3 linked regions of the Oryzias latipes genome follow. The protein of the gene in region 1 binds, or shares a complex with, the protein of each later gene. Links are inferred from orthologs where the notes say so. Each region holds a gene or a part of one and is shown in the gene's direction. Other genes may lie near its edges.

Evidence for each region.
Region 2: eif3e (region 1) and eif3g share a complex: the UniProt entries of both Homo sapiens proteins name them as parts of the eukaryotic translation initiation factor 3 (eIF-3) complex. The link is inferred for Oryzias latipes from reciprocal best matches to the Homo sapiens genes EIF3E and EIF3G.
Region 3: eif3e (region 1) and eif3i share a complex: the UniProt entries of both Homo sapiens proteins name them as parts of the eukaryotic translation initiation factor 3 (eIF-3) complex. The link is inferred for Oryzias latipes from reciprocal best matches to the Homo sapiens genes EIF3E and EIF3I.

The regions. Positions count from the first base shown.
Region 1 is NC_019874.2:3,401,778-3,408,334, reverse strand, and holds part of eif3e (eukaryotic translation initiation factor 3 subunit E), read left to right. Parts: intron 1-2,447; coding exon 2,448-2,574; intron 2,575-3,201; coding exon 3,202-3,303; intron 3,304-5,613; coding exon 5,614-5,723; intron 5,724-6,557. UniProt on the Homo sapiens protein: Component of the eukaryotic translation initiation factor 3 (eIF-3) complex, which is required for several steps in the initiation of protein synthesis.
Region 2 is NC_019866.2:8,455,149-8,462,253, reverse strand, and holds eif3g (eukaryotic translation initiation factor 3 subunit G), read left to right. Parts: upstream 1-2,726; 5' UTR 2,727-2,802; coding exon 2,803-2,825; intron 2,826-2,915; coding exon 2,916-2,962; intron 2,963-3,824; coding exon 3,825-3,916; intron 3,917-3,997; coding exon 3,998-4,057; intron 4,058-4,134; coding exon 4,135-4,239; intron 4,240-4,324; coding exon 4,325-4,520; intron 4,521-4,615; coding exon 4,616-4,726; intron 4,727-4,805; coding exon 4,806-4,942; intron 4,943-5,198; coding exon 5,199-5,305; intron 5,306-5,386; coding exon 5,387-5,402; 3' UTR 5,403-5,486; downstream 5,487-7,105. Other genes in the region: suppressor of SWI4 1 homolog, read left to right, coding at 564-1,493. UniProt on the Homo sapiens protein: RNA-binding component of the eukaryotic translation initiation factor 3 (eIF-3) complex, which is required for several steps in the initiation of protein synthesis.
Region 3 is NC_019869.2:26,645,062-26,652,159, forward strand, and holds eif3i (eukaryotic translation initiation factor 3 subunit I), read left to right. Parts: upstream 1-2,719; 5' UTR 2,720-2,857; coding exon 2,858-2,860; intron 2,861-3,514; coding exon 3,515-3,607; intron 3,608-3,677; coding exon 3,678-3,765; intron 3,766-3,845; coding exon 3,846-3,911; intron 3,912-3,993; coding exon 3,994-4,143; intron 4,144-4,288; coding exon 4,289-4,416; intron 4,417-4,490; coding exon 4,491-4,601; intron 4,602-4,675; coding exon 4,676-4,765; intron 4,766-4,835; coding exon 4,836-4,909; intron 4,910-6,482; coding exon 6,483-6,575; intron 6,576-6,643; coding exon 6,644-6,725; 3' UTR 6,726-6,792; downstream 6,793-7,098. UniProt on the Homo sapiens protein: Component of the eukaryotic translation initiation factor 3 (eIF-3) complex, which is required for several steps in the initiation of protein synthesis.

The DNA.
Region 1 (6,557 bases):
TTGCAGCTTATAATCAGGTGCGCTCCATAGTCCGGAAATAACGGACCTTTTTTTTTTTTTTGTTTTTTTATTCTCCTCCAGACTCCTTGTGGTGATCCATAGTATTGTAGTTTTGGCTCTGGAGTTTAAGTCGCAGATACCAAAATATTCATAACAAAAGAAAAAATCCTAGACCGGTGGCACTGGAGTATAAGTTAAACTTTTGGGAGCAATGTATAAAATACGGGACCAAGAACAGACATTTCATCTTGAAAGGCAAATCATATCAACAGAATAGACAAGAAGAATAGACTGAATATATGCACACTTCACTACCGTAAAACATTGATGCTTATTTAGATTCATAAAACACAAGAGGAATCTAGTATTTTGGCACAACATATGAACAATTATTCAAATACCCATCACATAAAGAACATGCTAACAAGTCAACTAAGCTCTTTATATCACTTCTGCAGAGCCCACTGTAAAGGCCCGTACACACCGGGCCGAATTTCGCGCGCGATATTCGCCGACGTTGAACACCTCGTGACTAAACAAAGGGCACCAATGTGAGTGTGCACACCGACGCGAAAAACGCCACGCGTAAAAGCGTCATTTTTAAAAAAACGCCTCGGGTTTGTTTTTTTGGTTTGACCCGCCGCGTCAAAGACTATTCGACCAATGAGAATGGCGCTTTTGCACACGTGTCTGGAGCTTCTGAAGTTACAGTAAAACACAACTTGGGGGTGCTCAAACACAAAACTGTCTTGCTGAGCACACATACGTCACGGCGAAGAAGATACACGCCAAGTACCGTCAACACTGCCGCGAAGAAATAAGACGAAGATGCAACTCACTGACGGACATTTTAAAAATCCCCGAAAACGCTCATACATTTTCAGCTCTTGTACCAGTCGATAAAACTCCCCATGTTCTTCTCTTCTCGTAACTATGGGATGTTCCCAAAATCGACGTCTTTTCCGACGTCTTTCATCATTCAACAGAACAATCATTTCTTCATCGCTGGAACTGGAGCTGGAGCAACTGATGCTTGAAATATTCATGTTTTCTTTGTATGATTCTGACAAGCACGTAAATACTTGCTCTCTTCTTCTGAGTGAAAAGCGACTTTAAGAAGCGTAAAGTTGCGCAGCGCCACCTTGTGTACAGGAGTATTTCTGTTTTACATTAAGCGCCATCTAATGTCAGGGAATGAAATTGCATGTTCGCTCGGCTCATCGTCAGCGAAATTCGCCTGGGTGTGAACACAAAAAACGTGTTGAAAACCGCTGGCGAATAACGGCTGGCGAAAATTCGTCCCGGTGTGTACGGGCCTTAAGAATGAACGGAGCTTCTTGTTCTGGGTTCCTGTCAGTAGCAAATACTGCTCCATCAACTGCAGTGCCCTCTAGTTGTTGTTGATAGGAAAATAACAAACACAGGCGCATATGTATTTGTAAAACACAGGCGCATATGTATTTGTAAAAAAAAACACTTATAAGTCGCACCCCTTGGCCAAACTATGTGAAAAACTCTGACTTATACTCAGAGAAAAATTCGATATTTCTGAGCAAATCCCATTGAAGCAGGGCTACAGTGAAAACCGTCTAACTGCACATGATGCGGGGACTCCCGCCGGATCCCTTATTTGAGGCCCCAGTAGTGTGTAGGTGTAAGTTAATCAGGAACACAGCATGAAGCATTGTGGTCTTCCTTAAAAGTCAAACAACTACAAAGAGAAGGAGGGAGCTCTCCTAAAAGGAGACCGGTGACGGGCTTTGCCATGTAGCCCACTGCTGTTTTTAGACTCAACATCACAGCTACCACAGGACCCTGTCCCTCTAATTGATCCGGCTAATTAAACTGTTGTCAGGACGGTTGCTTTGAGCGCCATGTGTTCCTCTGGCCATAGCTTTGAGAGACCTTAAGGGGCCCACTTCCTTATTTCTGATCAGATGTGGTCACATATTTAAAGAACCGCTCTGGTGACGCAGGTAATGTACATTTACGACCATCCTGACAAGTAAAGTGGATTTTGCGTGCTGGCGTTGCATGTTTGTACAGGATCCTCTTTCTGAAATAAGTGTGGGATTAGAATCCGCCTGTAACAGCATTGTGTTTCTTGTTTTCAGACTTTAGCAAGTTGACCTGTGGTTGGAGCATCAGTCCCTCATGGATTAAGTTTCTGCTACCGGGCAGGTCCCTGCTCAAGAGCTATATCCCCTTGCCAGGGTTTCCTCTTCCTCCCCCCTTTCTCACAGGACTAATGAAAGAGAAAGCTTTAAGCTGCAGAGATGAAGGTCTTGCTGGAAAATGTATCTGTTTAGCTGCAAAGTATTTTCCCCAATCCCAAATGCCAGGGCCCTGACAGGCAGCCAGAATGTTATATATGTGTCTTTGTAAAGATCATGTCTTTGCTAACATTGCTCTATTAAGTGAATACTTTTTCGTCTGCCCATTTTCAGATATCTCAATGCTATCCAGACAATGTGCCCCCACATCTTGCGTTACCTAACCACAGCGGTCATCACAAACAAGGATGTGCGTAAGCGCCGGCAGGTTCTGAAGGATTTAGTGAAGGTCATACAGCAGGTAACAGACTTTCTTTTTCAAACATCAGGTGCTGAAATAGTCTGAGTTTATTAGGGTCTGAAGGAACAGGAAGCGTCCAGCCCTTCCTGTCAAGCACAGCAGGTGTATCTTAGAGCTTCAGCCTTGCTGGCAACGTCTCTGAACAATTACTTCTGATGAATGGCGGGGAACCACCTGACTTTTATGTTCTATGCCCATTACTTGTTGACCAGTGACAGAGGGACTTCAGAGATCAAAGCTTGTTGCTTTTTACTAAAATGAATGACTAAAAGATGGACTCTGTGTTCTCCTCCTGGTGACCTTGGGTTGGCGAGGAAGTCACTCTTTCCGCTTTGATGAAACTGTCTGAAGATCACAGAGTGTTTTCACTCAGCCTATTTGAATTAGCCTTTGTAGCCAGTGTGCAAATCATTTGTCATGTTGTCTGTGTTATTATTGTTGGCAATTTAATTAAAACAAAACACTGTCTTTTCTTTTCTTTTTTTTACTTTGTAAAGGGGAAAAAAGGGGGAAAAAACTTCTGTTTTGCTGCAATTAGTCCAGAACTTCTTTTTGTTTCAGTAGTGACTTACATGATTTGGGATACATGGAGACATCCCTGAAAAAAAACTGTTTTTGTTTCTTTAGGAGTCTTACACCTACAAAGATCCAATCACTGAGTTTGTGGAGTGTCTGTACGTGAATTTTGACTTTGACAGTGCCCAGAAGAAGCTCAGAGAATGCGAGTCGGTGAGTAGTCTTTTCACTTTTCGTTCTGCCGTTTAACTCCCGTCCAATCAGAAGTAGATGGTCTTGTTTATTGTTCCTTTCCCTAACAAAGTCAAGCTCCTTTGAGAACATCTGTTTTGTGGGTCATGTCTTTGAAGTTTTAACAGTGAACTTTGTGGTAAACATGGTAGTAATGGTGATTTCTCTGGCCCCGTGCCTTTGTCCCTGTGGGTCAGATGAAGACAGAACAGCCGCAGTTTGTGTCTTGTATCGCACTGGCAGATAGGACGGTCTCCTGTATGACTCAGGCTTTAGTCAGCTTCTGCTTGGCTTGTCGTTGACCCATGAGGCCAGTAGTTAACAGTCAGAGCTTTCTAAGCAAAAGTCTCCGCAGACACTTGTTTCTGCTTATTTCAGTTGTGGTCTGTAAAGGTCAAATGTAACCCTGATCCCTGATGTGAAAATAGAACTCGAGTAGTGCAGGATAAAGGTTCTTTTTGTTTGTGAAGGACAAAGCTGAACAGAGTCAATGTGGTGACTTTTACTACTGAGGGCAGAAAACCTGTTGTAACAAACCCATTTCTGGATTGTTTTTGTGTTTTTAGGTTTATTTAAAAGAGATTAAAAACAGCTTCATTGGTAAAGACATCATATTTTACAGTATCTTACACAAATTGGTAAATATTGCTCTTGCCTCTCATATTTTAGGCTTACTTGTAGCAGATCCATTAGAGACCATAAACTGCTATGAACCTCGTCTTTTTCTTCATCAGGCCGTCATAACTCTTTGACCTTTACACAATTAACGTAAAGCAATGATTCTTAAGCAAAGAAAAGCAGCTTCCGGTTCTGTTGGAAATATGTTAATTGTGTAAAAAGTCGAAGAGTTGCGCTGGTTCAAAGAGTGTCAGCACCAGAGCTAAAGTTGCGGTCTTGAAGGATTAAAGAGTCGGGTGGTTTCCAGAATGTTTAACAGCCCCTTTTCAATGGATTTCCTGTAATGGCCTGCAAGGATGAACATTGTCCTAAGTGTTTCTTGGTTGAGGTCCAGAAGCATCTATTATTCACATCAAAGCTTGACAAGAAGGTAGCAAAGACATTTTTTTTTCAGTGGTTAACGTACACAGGTTACGTCTCTGTGATGAACACAGATTTTAAAAGAGTTTCACTCGTCTTTTTTATGATGAAGATGGCTGCAAAAACAAGAATTGGGTTTTTATTTTTAAGCTCTTGTGACTTTGGTTTGCTCCCCACCCTGAAATGGCTCAACTCATGTGTTTCTAATGGGATGCTTAGCTCTACCCAAATTGTTCTGTTTGGGCTTTACAGGTTCCCTTTTCTTCTTTTCCCACTCTTCTGGTTTCTGAAATCATTGTCAGATGTCAGATGAAGGCACGTCAAGGAGCGAGAAGTAGAGGCTACCAATAGTTAGGCCCTTAGATTGCACACAAAATAACTCTTCAAGCCAAAATTTGTGTGAATGTGGCCTTAAACCAAGATGACAATAATTAGAGTACTTAGCTGTTTAAAGTTTATCAGTGTAAGATAAGCAGTGTTGAAGCTCAAATGTGTGTTGCTTGATAATGTTGTAGTTTGATGCCGTTTGGAGGTATTCGACCAAAACTCTGGTCTGATAAGAGCTGCTTAAGCTTAAACAAAGAGCTGGTAATTCTTCCATACTTTTCAAAATGGGGGTCTGTGATGGGAAATTGCTCTTTAAGTGAGTTGGAATGCAGCAAATGCTGAGAAAGTGAACATTTTGCACAATCGAACCTCTGAGGCACCAGCTGGGTCACCAACATTTACAGAATGTCAATGAGTCCGAGTCAGGAGTTTTTGTTGTTAGGTGGCTCAAGTGATGTGTGTACTGATAAACGCACAGACCTTCTGCCTTCTTTAAGTTTATCATTCTAGTTCTTGATTGATTTTTATTTAATGATTGGTTTTTAACAGCTAGTGGTGATGCCTCAGCCTTTAGGGGGGAAAAACTCAATTTGTTTTGTCTAAAGAAACTTAAAACCCATTTTAAATCTAACGCATATGGTGATATTTCATTTAAAAAACAAAATGCTCTGTGGTTCACATGGCTGTTTAAAGCACAGCGGGCCTTAAAGTGTTGAAACTTGGGCAACATGAATCATTTAATAACAAAAGATTTGTTTCCTCTAAATATTTTGTTCAAAAAGACAAATGACGCATTGAAACTTGTGATTGTCCCGGCTGTAGTTTTCTAATTAAATAGTTTATCTTAGTTCAACCTTCAACTTTTCAAAGAGACATTCTGTGAATTTAGCATGAGCCTTTGCCACATCATTTGTTTTTGTTTTTCAGGTTCTTGTGAACGACTTCTTCTTGGTTGCCTGCCTGGAGGACTTCATTGAAAATGCCCGACTCTTCATCTTTGAGACCTTCTGCAGAATTCACCAGTGCATCAGCATCAAGTTAGTTGCTTTACAATTGAAACCAAACTGAACCGATGAGCTTCTACAAAAAGCTACGTTCACACCCCTCTCTGCAACACGTGTTCAAGCAGCTACTTCCAATGAAAAGTCTATGGAAACACATGTGAACATGCGTTTCAGGTTTTTCTGAGTTCAAGATTCTTGCATTTACATGTAGCTATGAACGTTTTTACGACCTTTTTCAGGCTCTCCGTACAAAACCCATGGCCATTGAACATGTGTTACCAGTTAAACCAGGTTGAACTTTGACCTTTCAGGGACTTGGATTTGGTGGTGACGTATGGATTTGGTTTACTTGGTGAACCCAGAAAGGGTGACAAGCCTGCGACATCTGCGTTTCTTTTTCAAACAAAGATAAACCAAGGCTATTCTCCTAACATGATGGTCATCCATATCCACCATTTCAAGGATGCTAGCATTAAATGGAACAGTTTCTGTTTCGTGCCCAAATTGCAAGATTTGCACCACTTTGACATTTTGCACCAAGCCTCTTCCAGCTGTAGGTGGCAAACATGCACTAGTAAACAGTAGAAAAAAAAGAAGTAGCCCCGTTCTGCTTATCCAGAGTGAATAGCATGGGCTAAATGTGCGTCAAATACCTGGTGTGTAGGTATCTTTAAATAAGCTACTGGTAACATTTTGTACTCAGGATTTGTGCCAAGCATCTCTGAACATTTGCAGTACTTCCTTTTTTTCCATCGATGGACATTTAAAATAGTTTGCAAACAGGAACCAAGAGAATCTGTTGTGTGATTAGTGGCATTTACCCCACAGATAAGTATTTATTGCCCAATCCACACAATCATGCTGACC
Region 2 (7,105 bases), on another chromosome or scaffold:
AAAAATGTATTTGGTTAAAACAGGCAATGAAAACACTTCTTTCACCTTTCGCAGTCAAAAAACTCAACAATTGTGGATGGAATTCTAGATTTTAAATTATATTAGATTTAAAACTGAGTCAAGGCTAACGTAATGTATTTATAGCCTTTTTTTGTGCAGATGGCAGAAGTGGTCATGTTCCTCGTCAGATTGTGAAACGCATGTGTCGGTAAGAGGAAATGACACTCAGGCTTTTTTGTGTCACTAGATGCAACACTTGAGATAATCGAGCGATATCTTTAGTCTTAAGTTTCTACACAGGAACTGCTTTCATCGCTCCTTGATAAATACAGTTTGTAGCACATTTTGGGTAAGTTAACATCATTTTTATAGATTTAGTGAAACCTGTTTTGACAAGTTTCTTGATAAGTTTTTGTATCTTTTTTAAAAGATACCTTTTACCTTTTCACAAAATCTCATTTTTTGTGTTCAAATGTGTTCAAGTAAACATCAGGGCAGCTGATCAAACTGTTCACATGCTTTCACAGCCACTGCCCTCCACACAATTGATCAATCACCTGTAGAGAAAGATGGTGAACTTCTCTGATTGCGAGAAGTTTCAGATCGGCGTGCTTCCTGCCATGTATGGAGTGGAGTTTATCGTTGCTCTTGTGGGAAATGCGTTGGCCTTGTTTCTGCTGCTCACCAAGGAAAGAAAGAACTGGCACCCAGGTGTGGTCCTGTCCTGTAATCTGGCCATCAGTGACCTGCTGTATGTCCTAACTCTGCCTCTCCTGATCGTTTATTATTCACTGGAGAAACGCTGGATGTTTGGGAATGCTGTGTGTAAGATGGAGAGGTTTCTTTTTATCCTCAACCTATACGTGAGCGTCTTCTTCATCATGGCCATCAGCGTGAACCGATGTGTGGCCCTCGTTTGGCCTTTCTTTAACCGTTCCTACGTGGAGCCTTTCCACGCCAAACTCGCCAGCGTCATCATATGGACTATCGTCGCAGTCGTCTCCCTACCTGTGCTGAAATTTGCATCTGTTTGCCAGCATGAAGACAACAACAACACTCTGTGTGTGTCTTTCTGTGACCACGTTTCTAATAATGCAAGCTCTCACTTCATCTACAAACTATTCCTGGCCGTGTTTGGCTGCCTTGTGCCCTTTCTGGTGACTTTCACTTCTTACTTTCTGGTGATTCGTGTAGTGTGGAAAAATGTCAACATAACAAAGCAAGAAAAGTACAAGGTTGGCCTGTTAGTTTCATCGGTGATCTTTCTTTATGGCATCTCCTTTGTACCGTATCACTTTGCTCAAGTCTATCATTTGTACCAAAGGTTACACTTTCCTAACCTGTCTGTTTGTTGGGTCTACAACATGTACCAGGTGTCTAAGGGACTGGCAACTCTGAACATGTGCATCCATCCCATCCTCTACATGGCCGTGTTTGACAGTATAAGAGTGGCATGCTGTGGAAAAGATTCAGACGACAGAATGCAGGAATAAGAAGCCCTTTATGTCTTTACAGCTGAACCCTTCTCTCTCTCTCTGGCTTGCAATAGCTTATGATGCTTTTCTATTGTTGAATCTATGTTTTTATACAGTTTTGTGTCCATTGTTTTAATGTCTCTTGTTCTATTACACTTTAGTTGGGTTTTTGATTGACAGGGAAAGTACTGCTTTGGTGGCTTTTGTCAAAAAAAATACTTTCTATCTGACTGGAAGAGTAAATTATAGGTTTTATCTGCAATAACAGTTTATATACACTCTTTAATATTTTTGCCTTCCATATGTTGAACTTTGACACTCACATGTTATGCATCAAATCGTTTTTCTTTTTCTGTTCATACCTGTCTAAAATAAACTGTTTCTGTGTTATGAAGCTGTTTGTGCAATCATTTCTTACTTGTTATTAGATGTTCAGGTAAAAGTTTTTCATAATTAATATATTATGTGTTTCTAAAATAGTTGAATCAGTGATTAAAAGAATAAATAAATTCCATCTGAACAAAACAAACTTGCTTCAAATCCCTCTCTTTTTGTCATATAGATTTTGTAAGTAAGTGAATAAATAATTATTTCATTTACACAATTTCTAGTGTGGTCTGAATTGATTTTAGGTTGATAAATTCAACTTATTTTATCAAATTGTTAAATGAAATATGATGTGGTTCTGCTACAACTATCTCAAAAATGTATGTCAAATTCTAAACTTATTGCCTGATGGCTAAACCTATTTGGTAGGAAAAAAATGTGAAACAATGCACGATTGCACAAATCTATCAACTTGAAGAAAACCCAAAACGAATCCAAACTTTAGATAACAAATAATAATCCAGTTTGATTCTTGTCAGAGTTGCCCAACAGAGCTTTAAGGTGTATAAAAGACTACACGCTTCTGAAGTCTTTTGTTTAAATGCCAATCATCTGTTCATTGTCTTTTTTTAATAAATTATTCTTTATGTAGCTTTTATTAAATTTCAACACTTTATAAAAATGTATATAAACGCATAGGAAAATGTCAAATTATCGAATAGAAATCTGTTTTTAATTAGAAAAATCAGAGAACTACAATCACCAGACAATAACTGATCAGATTCAGATGGCAATTAAAAAAAACAGATTATAATCCGATTTGTGCCATGCATGTAGCGAAAAAGTTTTTTCTTTTATTATTATTATTATTATTATTATTATTATTATTATTATTATTATTATTATTATTATTATTATGCTATTATTTTGAAGTTTAAGTTCCGGAAGCGACCTGCTCTCGGCGCGGCTCGGTCCTTCTCGAGCTAAGCTAACACGCAGGATGCCGTCGGTGGAGTACGACGAGTGAGTGTCATTTAGATTTTCCATCAGTGTTTATATGTCACAAATGTCTTTTTTACTGGTTTAATGTTGATTATCTTCTCTGTATTTTAGCTCTAAGCCCAGCTGGGCCGACCAAGTCGAGGAGGAAGTAGATGAAAGTAAGAAAGAAAGCTGTTAGCATTGAAGCTAATTTATGGTAACACTGCTTGGTTCAAGGAGGCCGGCTAACCCGGCTTCATGTCCACGTGTTCGTCTGCTTTTTAAAATAAATATATCCAGGGAAAAACGTTGCGTATACACGTGTTAAAATTGTTTTTATTTTAAAAGAAATAGGTTTTAGAGAAATGTCATGTTGGACGGTTGTTGGCGCAAATTTTCTGTTGTCAAAATAGCATCGATGTGGCTAACATAAAAGCTTGCAGCTAACAAGCTCCGTTAGGTTAGGAGACGGTAACTGCTCTCAAATTAATTATTTTGCAGTATGTCAAATATTCAAAATATTCGTGTTTGGCTCGCATTTAATTCATGTCCGTCCCGAGACTTTTGGCAAATCCCGTTAAAAATTGGGACAGTTGTGTGTAGTGAATTCAACATGTAATTCAATGTAATTTAATGATAAAATGTAGTTGGAACATCTGTACACAAATTATAGATACAAAATATTTGTAATTAATTATGTTAAACGCGCAATACAACTTATTAACAATATTTTGATAAAAGTAGCCCATTCATCCAAATATTATTGTGCCCTCTACTTGTTAGGTTTTAAATTAATAAATCATTATAAACGCATACAAAATTTACTTCTGTTGTTTTCATAAAACATGTTAGCATCACCACAACCCAAAAACAAAAACCGCAATACAAAGATTCGTTACAAATTAACATATTACTTATTAGCTGCTTTGTGAACTAATTTTTTTGTTTAGACCCAGTTGAAAAAATTAAATGACCTAAAATATCTTCTAAGAATTTTTAGGCTGTAATTCATTTGTCTACTTGTTTTTGTGTCATTGACAGCCACACTTCCCTCCCCAAAGGAGACGATTAGAGGTAATATCAAAACTATCACAGAGTATAAAATCGACGAGGAAGATGGAAAGAAATATAAGGTAAACAGCATGTCCACAGTGGTTAAAGTGATGACCTGCTTCAACTGAATTATTTCATGGATTCTTTTTCAATCTCTGTAGATTGTACGGACTTTTAAGATTGAGACGAGGAAAGCATCAAAAGCCGTTGCCAGGAGGAAGGTTTGTGGAGTTGTGTTTAAACTGGGATTACTTTTGTGGGATTGGTTGTTGTGCAACAGTGAGTTTACTCTTTTCAGAACTGGAAAAAGTTTGGCAACTCTGAGTTTGATGCTCCTGGCCCAAATGTTGCCACCACCACAGTCAGTGATGATGTCTTCATGACTTTCATCTCCAGCAAAGAGGTAATAACTTGCATTAAATATTATTTTCTGCTTAATTGTTGTGAACCAACTTTCCTTGTGGATTTACTAATTTTGCTTTTTGCAGGATTTGAATGCTCAAGACCAGGATGAGGATCCCATGAACAAGCTAAAGGGACAGAAGATTGTGTCCTGTCGTATTTGTAAAGGCGACCACTGGACCACCCGCTGTCCATACAAGGACACCCTGGGCCCCATGCAGAAAGAGCTGGCTGAGCAGCTTGGACTGTCTACCGGAGACAAGGAAAAGCCCGCTGGCGCCGGTAGCATTTGCTCTTTATTCTCAGAAACACTATTTGAGAATTTTTTTTTTCTAAACACCTCACCAGTGACTCCTGCTTCCTCTTACTTTCCTTAGCGGAACCAGAGCCTGCTCAGCCCGCCCAAAGCAAGACGGGGAAGTACGTTCCTCCAAGTCTGAGGGATGGAGGCCGGGGAAGAGGAGAGTCCATGCAGCCCAACCGCAGAGGTGAGGCTTCAGGGCAAAACATGTACAATTATTTTCAGCAGCAAAACTTTATCCCTTGAAATTGTATGTGATTGCACAGCTGATGACAATGCAACCATTCGTGTGACCAACCTGTCGGAGGACACCCGTGAGACGGACCTGCAGGAACTCTTCAGACCGTTTGGCTCCATCTCAAGGATTTATCTGGCCAAGGATAAGAATACAGGGCAGTCCAAGGTTAGAGGCCATTTCAAAAAAAGCAGTACAGATCAGTTATGAAGGCTTGTTTCAACTGAAAATAGGTTACTTTAACCCAATCATGGTTCTGTTTGTAATCACAACTATTAACCCTAACTTATATAAGCCAAAAAGATCTTTTTGGTGAGAGCTGCCTTCTGTCTGCATCTGATATTAATATGTCGATAGACAGTTGATGTGTGCTCTCATGAGCGAATGACGCGCTCCAGTTAACGCTGCATCTCATTTCCTGCAGGGGTTTGCCTTCATCAGTTTCCATCGTCGGGAGGATGCCGCCAGAGCCATCGCGGGGGTCTCAGGATTTGGATATGACCATCTTATTCTTAATGTTGAATGGGCCAAGTAAGCTTCTTCTCCCATTCAAGTATTTGTGTTAAAACATTGCTTTAAAACTGGTGCTAACATTGTTTATTCTCTTTACAGGCCTTCAAACAACTGAGTTCAAACGGATTTCTAGAAAGATGCCAGATTCTATTGTGGTAAAATGTGGCTATTGCTTCAATAAAGAGAATGAATTCAGAAATATCGTTGCAGTTTTATTAATTTTAAGGTTTTTTGATTGATTTCTATACCAAATTCACAGATTGTGTGCTTATGTTGCATTTACACACCATAGAATTTCAACAAAGCCAATATTAAATAAATAAAGCCCTGGTCTCGTGGATTGAGGACTACCTGACAGGTCAACCTCAGTTTGTGAGACTGCAGAGCTGTGTGTCTGACACCCTGATAAGCAACACAGGAGCCCCTCAGGGAACCGTGCTGTCCCTCTTCCTATTCACCACATACACAGCTGACTTCCAGTACCACTCTGAGCTCTGTCACCTCCAGAAGCACTTGGATGACACAGCTGTAGTCGGGTGTGTGAAAGATGGACGGGAAGAGGAGTATAGGAGCCTCGTGGAGTGTTTCGTCAGGTGGTCTGGGGAAAATTACCTGCTGCTGAACGTGGCCAAGACTAAAGAGATGGCGATTGACTTTAGCAGGAGAAAGTCTCCGCCCTCCCCAGTCTGTATCGGTGGGACGGATGTGGAAATTGTCTCGTCCTACAAGTTCCTGGGTGTACATCTAGACGATAAACTGGACTGGTCCACAAACACTGAGGCGGTTTAGAAGAAGGGTACGAGCAGACTTTACTTCCTGAGGAGACTCAGGTCCTTCAATGTTTGCAGTAGGATGCTCCACATGTTCTACCAGTCTGTCATGGCGAGCACCATCTTCTTTGCTGCAGTGTGCTGGCATCAAAGCAAAGGACGCCAACAGACTGAACAAACTTATTAGAAAAGCAGGGTCTGTTATTGACTTCAAGCCTGCCAATCTGGAAGAGGTAGTGGGGGACAGACTACTGGCTAAACTGGGGACCATCATGGACAATCCCTCCCATCCCCTCTTCAGGTAGGTGGACAACCTGAGAAGCAGTTTCAGCGGAAGACTTATACAACCCCGCTGTGCCTGAGAACGATACAGGAAGTCATTTCTCCCATTAGACTCCACAATTCATCTGGCAGACTTGGATGTACATGAGAATTCTAGAGTTACAGACTGTACAGTTATACTATTATTTTATTCCAATTTTTCCTTTTTTCTTCCCTGTATATTTTGTGTCTGTCTTTATCCCCCCTATTTCCTTAGTGCTGCTACTGCAACTAAATTTCCCTTCGGGGATTAATAAAGTTGTTCTTGAATCTTGAAATAATACATTTAATACAGATTTCCAGCTTCATGTTGCTTTTAAGTGAATACTTAACTTGATTAGATTTGTCAAAATGACAAATGCCTTTAAGTACAAAAGAGCTTTTATAAATCAAAATCTACAAAAGGAAGTACTTCAAACTTGAAGGGCCGTAACCCTTGTGCTATCTTAGATGACCCCACCCTTACATTGACATGTTCTCCCTACCATGACAAAGGTGGAAAGATTTCATGTAATCCATGGACACCAGTGAAGATCACAAATCATTGAAGAAAAAAGGTTCAGAGCACTGTCTAGTGGGTCTAGATGACCCCACTCCCAATGTTAAAGTGCCTAGGATAGCACAAGGGTTAAAAGAATGTGTGCATTTTTCATTTTCCAATGACTAAACTTAATCTACATACTTTTAGTCTGAATTGCTTGCAATAAACAAATTTCAAAGCATAGTA
Region 3 (7,098 bases), on another chromosome or scaffold:
CGAAAAAAATGTATTTTAAAATTGAAGAAACACTGAAAATTAAAATAAAAAAACAGTAAAACTTATCAAATGGAAAAAAGTATTGAACAACTGCTGTTTTGTTTTTTGAACTCTTTGGTCTTTGGTGGAGGGGGTTCTGTGAGCTCATTGGGGGCCGCCCCATTGACTGTAAACGAGAACTGGACTGAGTGACCCCCGCCCCTGGCGTTCCAAACAGGAAGTACCTGCTGGTTCCAGGGAGCCAAACTCCCATAGACGTCTATGGAGAAATAAACAGCTGTTACTCAGTCATTCTATTGTGCAGACTTACCCATTCTTGATCCGATACCTTTTTGTCTAAAACGTTTTATTAATGATCCAGTTTGTTTTCTTTATTGCAAGTTATTGAAGCTATAAACGGACCAATCAGAAGCCTCACTGGTGGCGACGTGGCGTGTTTGAGATCACCCAGGCAGACTAACCAGCATACACCGCGCACCAGGGTGACCTCAAACACGCCAAGTTATCGCCTGGCCCGCCTGATAACTACAAAAACTAAATGCATTGTGGGAAACTGTTTTCTTATAGTTTAAAGGGATGCTAAACAGAAACTGCTGGCGTATTATGTAACTTTCTGTAAATAGTGAATCACTGATGAAAAAATTGACAAGATTTATTTTCTACAAATGGTCATTGAAATCAACATCACTCAGATTACTTTATCATTAGAAGTTATTTTATTTGAAATATGTAATTCTTGTTTTCTACTGATAATCATTTTGGTTCTAAATGACAGGCCGAAATTATTTTGTTGCATTTATGCAACAAAAAGAAGTCATAAGTACAGGCATCACAAATAATCTGTGTTTTATTGTTGCCTTTAAAGGTTAACTTTTATTTGAATTTTGTATACTTCTCAAGAAAAAGTGCACAAGCATCACCGCAATGAGCCAGAATCAGCCCGGTGGCTCTTTTCCCTCCGTTCTCCCCGGACAGATGGTAAAATTTACTAGCTTAAAAGTTAAAAAGAACAATTTGTCACAACGATTGAAAATAACAATGAAAAGGATATACAGGAAAATGCAATAAGACTATGATAATTAAAATACCTATTGATAATTTTAAAAATATGCTACATACATTACAAAACAGGCTATATAACAATAATAGCCTAGTCCTAGTATCCTGTATGTGGGGTTAACAAAATAAAGTTTACATTTATGTCGACAGTAAATTATTCATCCATCATCCCTACATGTTGATAATAGCCCTGCAGCATCATGCATGTTAACATGTGTACTATTAAAAAAAAAACCTGTGTTTTATTAATGAAGCCCCTGCAGCATTAAAAGAAAAAAATTATAGTACCTACCTGTGAAATGTTCTGCCTTCCTCCTTCATGGACTCATTTCTCTGATTCTGGGAGTTGAAACCCGCACAATGAACTGGCATTTTGCAAAAAATGTGTTCACATGCATGCAGTGCTGCAGTGACTTGACCTCACCAAGATGGCGGTGCTCTCCTCCTATGTGGAACCCCGTGATGTCTCCTCTAGCGATAGAACTCAATGGTCTCAACCCCTTCCTTCTCATGTTCCCAAATAGGAAGTACCATTGCTACCTGATACAGTGGCCACTATGTTGTAACCAGTCGACAGTCCGAGTCGCTCTGAGTCATTGTATCTATGGCAACCACTGTCACCATTGCCATAGATACGATGACTCGGAGAGAATCGGACCAACCACTGTCGACTGGTTTCAACATGGCGGCGCTCGTATCAGGTAGCAATGGTGAGGGATGTGGCCTCCTTTCGTGAGAGCCGGAGGTACGGCTTTTCCTATGGGTGATGTCACAACGCCATTCGTCCAATGCTTTTACAGTCTGTGGTTCACCTTCATCCCAGACGCCTTTCCCCGCATGCAGCCGACTGGTCTCGTTGACGATCCAGGCGAGGCGCTGGTTTATCCCAAACACGACCTTTTGTCTAGCCGGCTTTCAAGTGGAAGGGGCGTGGCCTTCCAACAGGCTAAATTTTAAGTGGTTGCTATAGAAACATTGACTCAGATTGACTTGGACCTACTGTTTACTGACGATGTCTGGTTCCAACATGGCAGTATCTGTATCACGCAAAAATGTCAACTGTATTGACAATTTTTTAAAACTTTTTAACTGTTATTGCCAAAGAAAACGCTGGACACACAAAAAGGACGAAAATGAAAACGTAAAACAGCAGCTGTTGCAAAAAAGTATTTTTAAAATTTGGTAACTATGACGGTATTCAGTTTACAAACACAAACAGGTTTCACTTTAAAGCCGTAAATTTACGGAAAAAAAATTGTAACGTAAATTAGGGTTAGTATATTTTATTCAAATGTAGCCTACGTTTGTTCTCAAAATGTACACTGTGACTCTTGAGGAACATTGAACATTTAAGTGGCCTAGAATGTGACATTTCTTTTCTGTTTGTGTTTTTAACAAGTCATGAAAACACGAAGCATCAAAGTGTTGGTTCAGATTTCACACAGAAGCTCTTCTGGATTTTCCCTGTGTTTGGTTTTCTGTTCAAAATCCTTTTAAAGAAGATAAAAAGTAAAAATATATCAAAAATTAAAGCCATGGAAAATGTTACACGTGACACTCCCGCAGAGAATGATAAAGGTGTGCTGCTCTTCTCGTCCAGATAGTCGTGTTGGTTGTCATTATTGGTAACGCCGCCAGGGGGCGACGTGTCTACCGGAAGTTCTTTGGTTAGTGACACAAGCATTCCTTTTCCGGTGCAATTCCAGGGCGCCTGAAAACACGAGAGTCCCCCTTTCCTCTTTTCGTCTGAAGCTAAGTACCTCTTGTCGGACTTACTGGGGCCGTGTGGCTGACAGAAATGGTCAGTTGTGGCTTTTCTGAAGCTTTGTTGTGTTTCGGCCATGTTTGCTTTGTATTTGGCCTCTGGTTAGCTTAGCTCCGCAGTTAGCCGGTGTCGTGCTTGCTAGCAGCACTCATGCTGTCGGTGAGGCTGAGAAAGAATAGAAATCATTTTTATTTCTTTAGAATGTTTTTATTTTAGGCCAAAATCGGAGGTTTACGCGCTGTAACTGATGATTTTGTACAATTTTAAAAAACTAAAAGATTATAAACTACAAAAAGCACCAATAAATCAAACAATTTACCCTAAACTGCAATAATTAGACCAAATGTCATGAACTATTAAATATCAATACAAGTTCAGCCAAAATCTCAGAAACTGAACCAATTAATAGTTTTTATTAGAAAAATAAGGGTTTCTTGGATTTGTTTTTACTGAAGACCACATTATATCTCCCTGTTGATGACGTCATAGTTAGATTCTGGGACTGAAGGACTTAAATATGTTCATGGGTCTGAAAACAAACAAAGGGATGTGACTGTTTTCCTGCAGGCTGGTTGATCAGCTGGCAATTGTTTTTGATTGGTTACTAAAGATATGAAGGTTAACCTTTGTGGTGCTGCTGTGCAGACTGTCTAACGCTCAAACTAAAGGTTTTGTGACGTTTCCTGGCAGAAACCCATCCTGCTGCAGGGCCACGAGAGGTCCATCACTCAAATCAAGTACAACAGAGAGGGCGACCTGCTCTTCTCTGTAGCTAAAGACACGGTGAGCCCTCACCCCCCGCCACCCCCCCCATCTCCAGGTGTTTCGGACTCACTGACTTGTGTCCCTGCAGGTTGCAAATGCGTGGTACTCCGTAAACGGCGAGAGGCTCGGCACGTACAACGGACACACGGGGGCGGTATGGTGCGTGGACTGCGACTGTATCCTTCCTCCTGTGAGGATGAATGGTGTGCATGCTAACTCCTGAGGCCGCGGGCAGTTTCTTAACACGCCTTCTCAGGGGACACGAAGAACGTTCTAACAGGATCAGCAGACAACAGCTGCCGGCTGTGGGACTGCGAGACCGGTCCGTAAAATCCAAATGGGTCTGTGGTGTGAGCCAGTTCTATGAGCTCACATTCAAACAGAACCGTGTCTCCTGCTCACAGGTAAACAGCTGGCGCTGCTCAACACCAGCTCTGCCGTCAGGACATGTGGGTTCGACTTCAGCGGGAACATCATCATGTTCTCTACTGACAAGCAGATGGGTTACCAGTGCTACCTGAACTTCTTTGACCTGAGGGACCCACAGCAGATAGGTATGTGAAGTTAGCAGGAGCCTGGAGTTTGACGTCCCCGTTAGTTTGCTGCGTCTTCATCCCCCTCCACAGTGAAGCTGGATGTTCAGCTTCTGAAAAGCTGCTAGGAAAGTAATGAATCATGACTGAAGCATTCTGTCTGCAGAGGACAACAACCCGTACTTGTCCGTACCCTGCAACGAATCGAAGATAACCAGCGCGGTGTGGGGGCCGCTGGGCGAATTTGTCATCGCTGGCCATGAGAACGGCGAGATCAGCCAGTTCAGCGCTAAGGTTAGAGCCTTCAGACCTGTGTGTGGATTCTTTCTGAAGTGAAACTGGTTCATGTGCCGTTTCCCTGTGAGCAGTCTGGAGAGGCCCTGAAGAAGGTCAAGGAGCACACCAAACAGATCAATGACATCCAGTCCTCGGTGGATCTGACCATGGTCATCACCGCCTCCAAGGATAACTCTGCCAAAGTAACGACCGCTCCGCTGCTGAAGTGACTGTTCTGAGGAATCTCAAATCAACTCTGAATGTTTGTTTCTTTTAGCTGTTTGACTCCACCTCTCTAGAAAACATCAAAACCTTCAGGACAGAGAGGCCGGTCAACTCTGCTGCCATCTCCCCCATCAAAGACCACGTAAGAACCCCTCCTCCAAGTTTGAAAGAGATCAGGTGGATGCAGGTCAGTGACGCACATTTCCTCTCAGGTTGTGATGGGAGGAGGACAGGAAGCCATGGACGTTACCACCACCTCCACCAGGATCGGCAAGTTTGAGGCCAGGTGAGTCTGAGCCGAACGTCAGTCAGTCGTGAAGCCACAAACGCACCTTCAGCAGGAAGAGTTGATCCACATTAGCGTGGTCTCCATCAGAACGGAGAGAAACGTTTTCAGCCTGGAAGAACCCAACATCCAAGAGCTGGGGTTCTCACAGTTTTTGTAGCGGAGGGCCAAACCACGACACCGCAACTCCTGCTGCTTCATCACTGCGGTGATGAAAAGTCCCACACCGTCACAGCTCTATTCCAAACAGTACATGTGACGCGGCAACAATATAGTAGTAACAGCACTAACAGGGCTGGTTAAAAAAAACATACCAGTAAAAGTCACTGAGAGCAGCAGTAAATACTGAAACCATGGAAGTCTTCCTCCTCAGTGTGGGATTGGAATAGCGTCAGATATTCTTCACCACTCTCTCTCTCCTTCATTGTCATCAGTGTCACTCTGAGGTAAATTGTCTCCTGTTCTTGCTCTGTCCTCTCCGTCACGCAGCAGACCGGCTTTTCCAAACCCGTTGGTGATGGTGGATTTTTTCACACTGCTTTTAACTTGAAAGCTGTGTCATCTGCATTTCTTCTTGCATTTTCCATGATGAGTCTGTTCCTGCTATTCATTCACAAAACAGGAATTTACATTAAACTTGCGTCTTCCTCACACATACTGTATTCCCCCGTCTCACTCTTACTCTTTATGCTCCAGCGCCCCTAGTGGCCGTTGGACACGGGGACAAAAGTAGCCGCTTATAATCCAGAAATTACGGTAACCAGGCCCTCCAGATGTTTTACCAGTTGAGGTTGGAGGTTGCTGTCCAGATCTTCTACTCGTCTAGTATTTGTATCATTTGACAGACTCTTTTGCTCTGGACAAACAGCTACTTTCAGCATTTATTCTTTTACAAACTCCCCGTCCCTGAAGGGCTTGCTATGCTGGGCCATTTCCAAAGCCACAATGTAGCTAGTTTGTCACAGCTTAACTGGATGTAGCCATTTTGTAAACATCTGGTCTGCAGCTTATCCTCGTCGTAGTTGATGTAGATTATTGTTGTCCTCCTCGCCAGTAAATTTGTTATAGTTTATGATTTATAACATTGACTATTTTATCGAATTCTTGGAGCATTGCAGATACGTGCAAATACGGCACATGACTTTATCCAGCCAATGAGGTACGACAAAGTAAGCATCTGTCCACTTAGCTTGATAGCGCCTTTTCTCCTCGCCAACACGTTTTTCCTTTAAGGAACCTGCTCTGGCTCTCAGAATCCCGCTCTGATTCCATTTCTACTGCCGTCTTCACGGTCTTTCCTTTCACAGAGGCAGTGACATAGAACATGTCTGCCCCCTTGTGGTGAAATGAATACACTGTACCGCTGACACCCAGCTCTGATTACCATTTTTTCCTGCAGATGTTGCCAGAAATCACAAAATATTTTTCCTAGCAGTCGACAGCTGGTTTAATAACCATCAATTAGGGAATTGAGGGCCACAAAAAGTCTTCCCCCGGGCCGCATTTTGAGACCCCATGATAAGGAGAAACCCCAGAGCTGAGTGATGTTTGCTGAAATCTCTGCCTCTTCCAGGTTCTTCCATGCAGCCTATGAAGAGGAGTTTGGCAGGGTCAAAGGTCACTTTGGTCCAATCAACTGCGTAGCTTTCCATCCTGATGGCAAAAGGTAACCTGGCTCTGGTTTGGGGGGGGGTGTTCTGAAGGGTCTGAGCTGACCCCCGTGTCTGTCTGCAGCTACAGCAGTGGAGGAGAAGACGGCTACGTCCGGATTCATTACTTTGACCCTCAGTACTTTGACTTTGAACTGGAGGCGTGACCCACAGGAGGCCCTCCCCCCCTCCAACAGCGTTTCAGTTCAGAATAAAGAGCGACAGAAGACCATGTGACTGCTGTGTCCTTTGTTCCATCACTGATCTGGGTTAGAAAACCCCACCCCTCCCCCAAAGTGGGGCGGACCCTTAAAGACACTGAGGCTCAGAAAGTGGCTTCAATCTTTATGTAGAACAATAGAAAATATAAAAACATTCACTCACCAACGTCTGCAGGTTCACATTCATACATGTACAGGGGGAGGGGGGGTCCTCATGGTTTAAAATAACTTACAGGACGGTTCAGGAACTCTGAGTGTGTGTGTGGGGGGGTATTCAGACAGGGGGACAGTTCAGTCCAGCTGCTGATCAGATACAAAA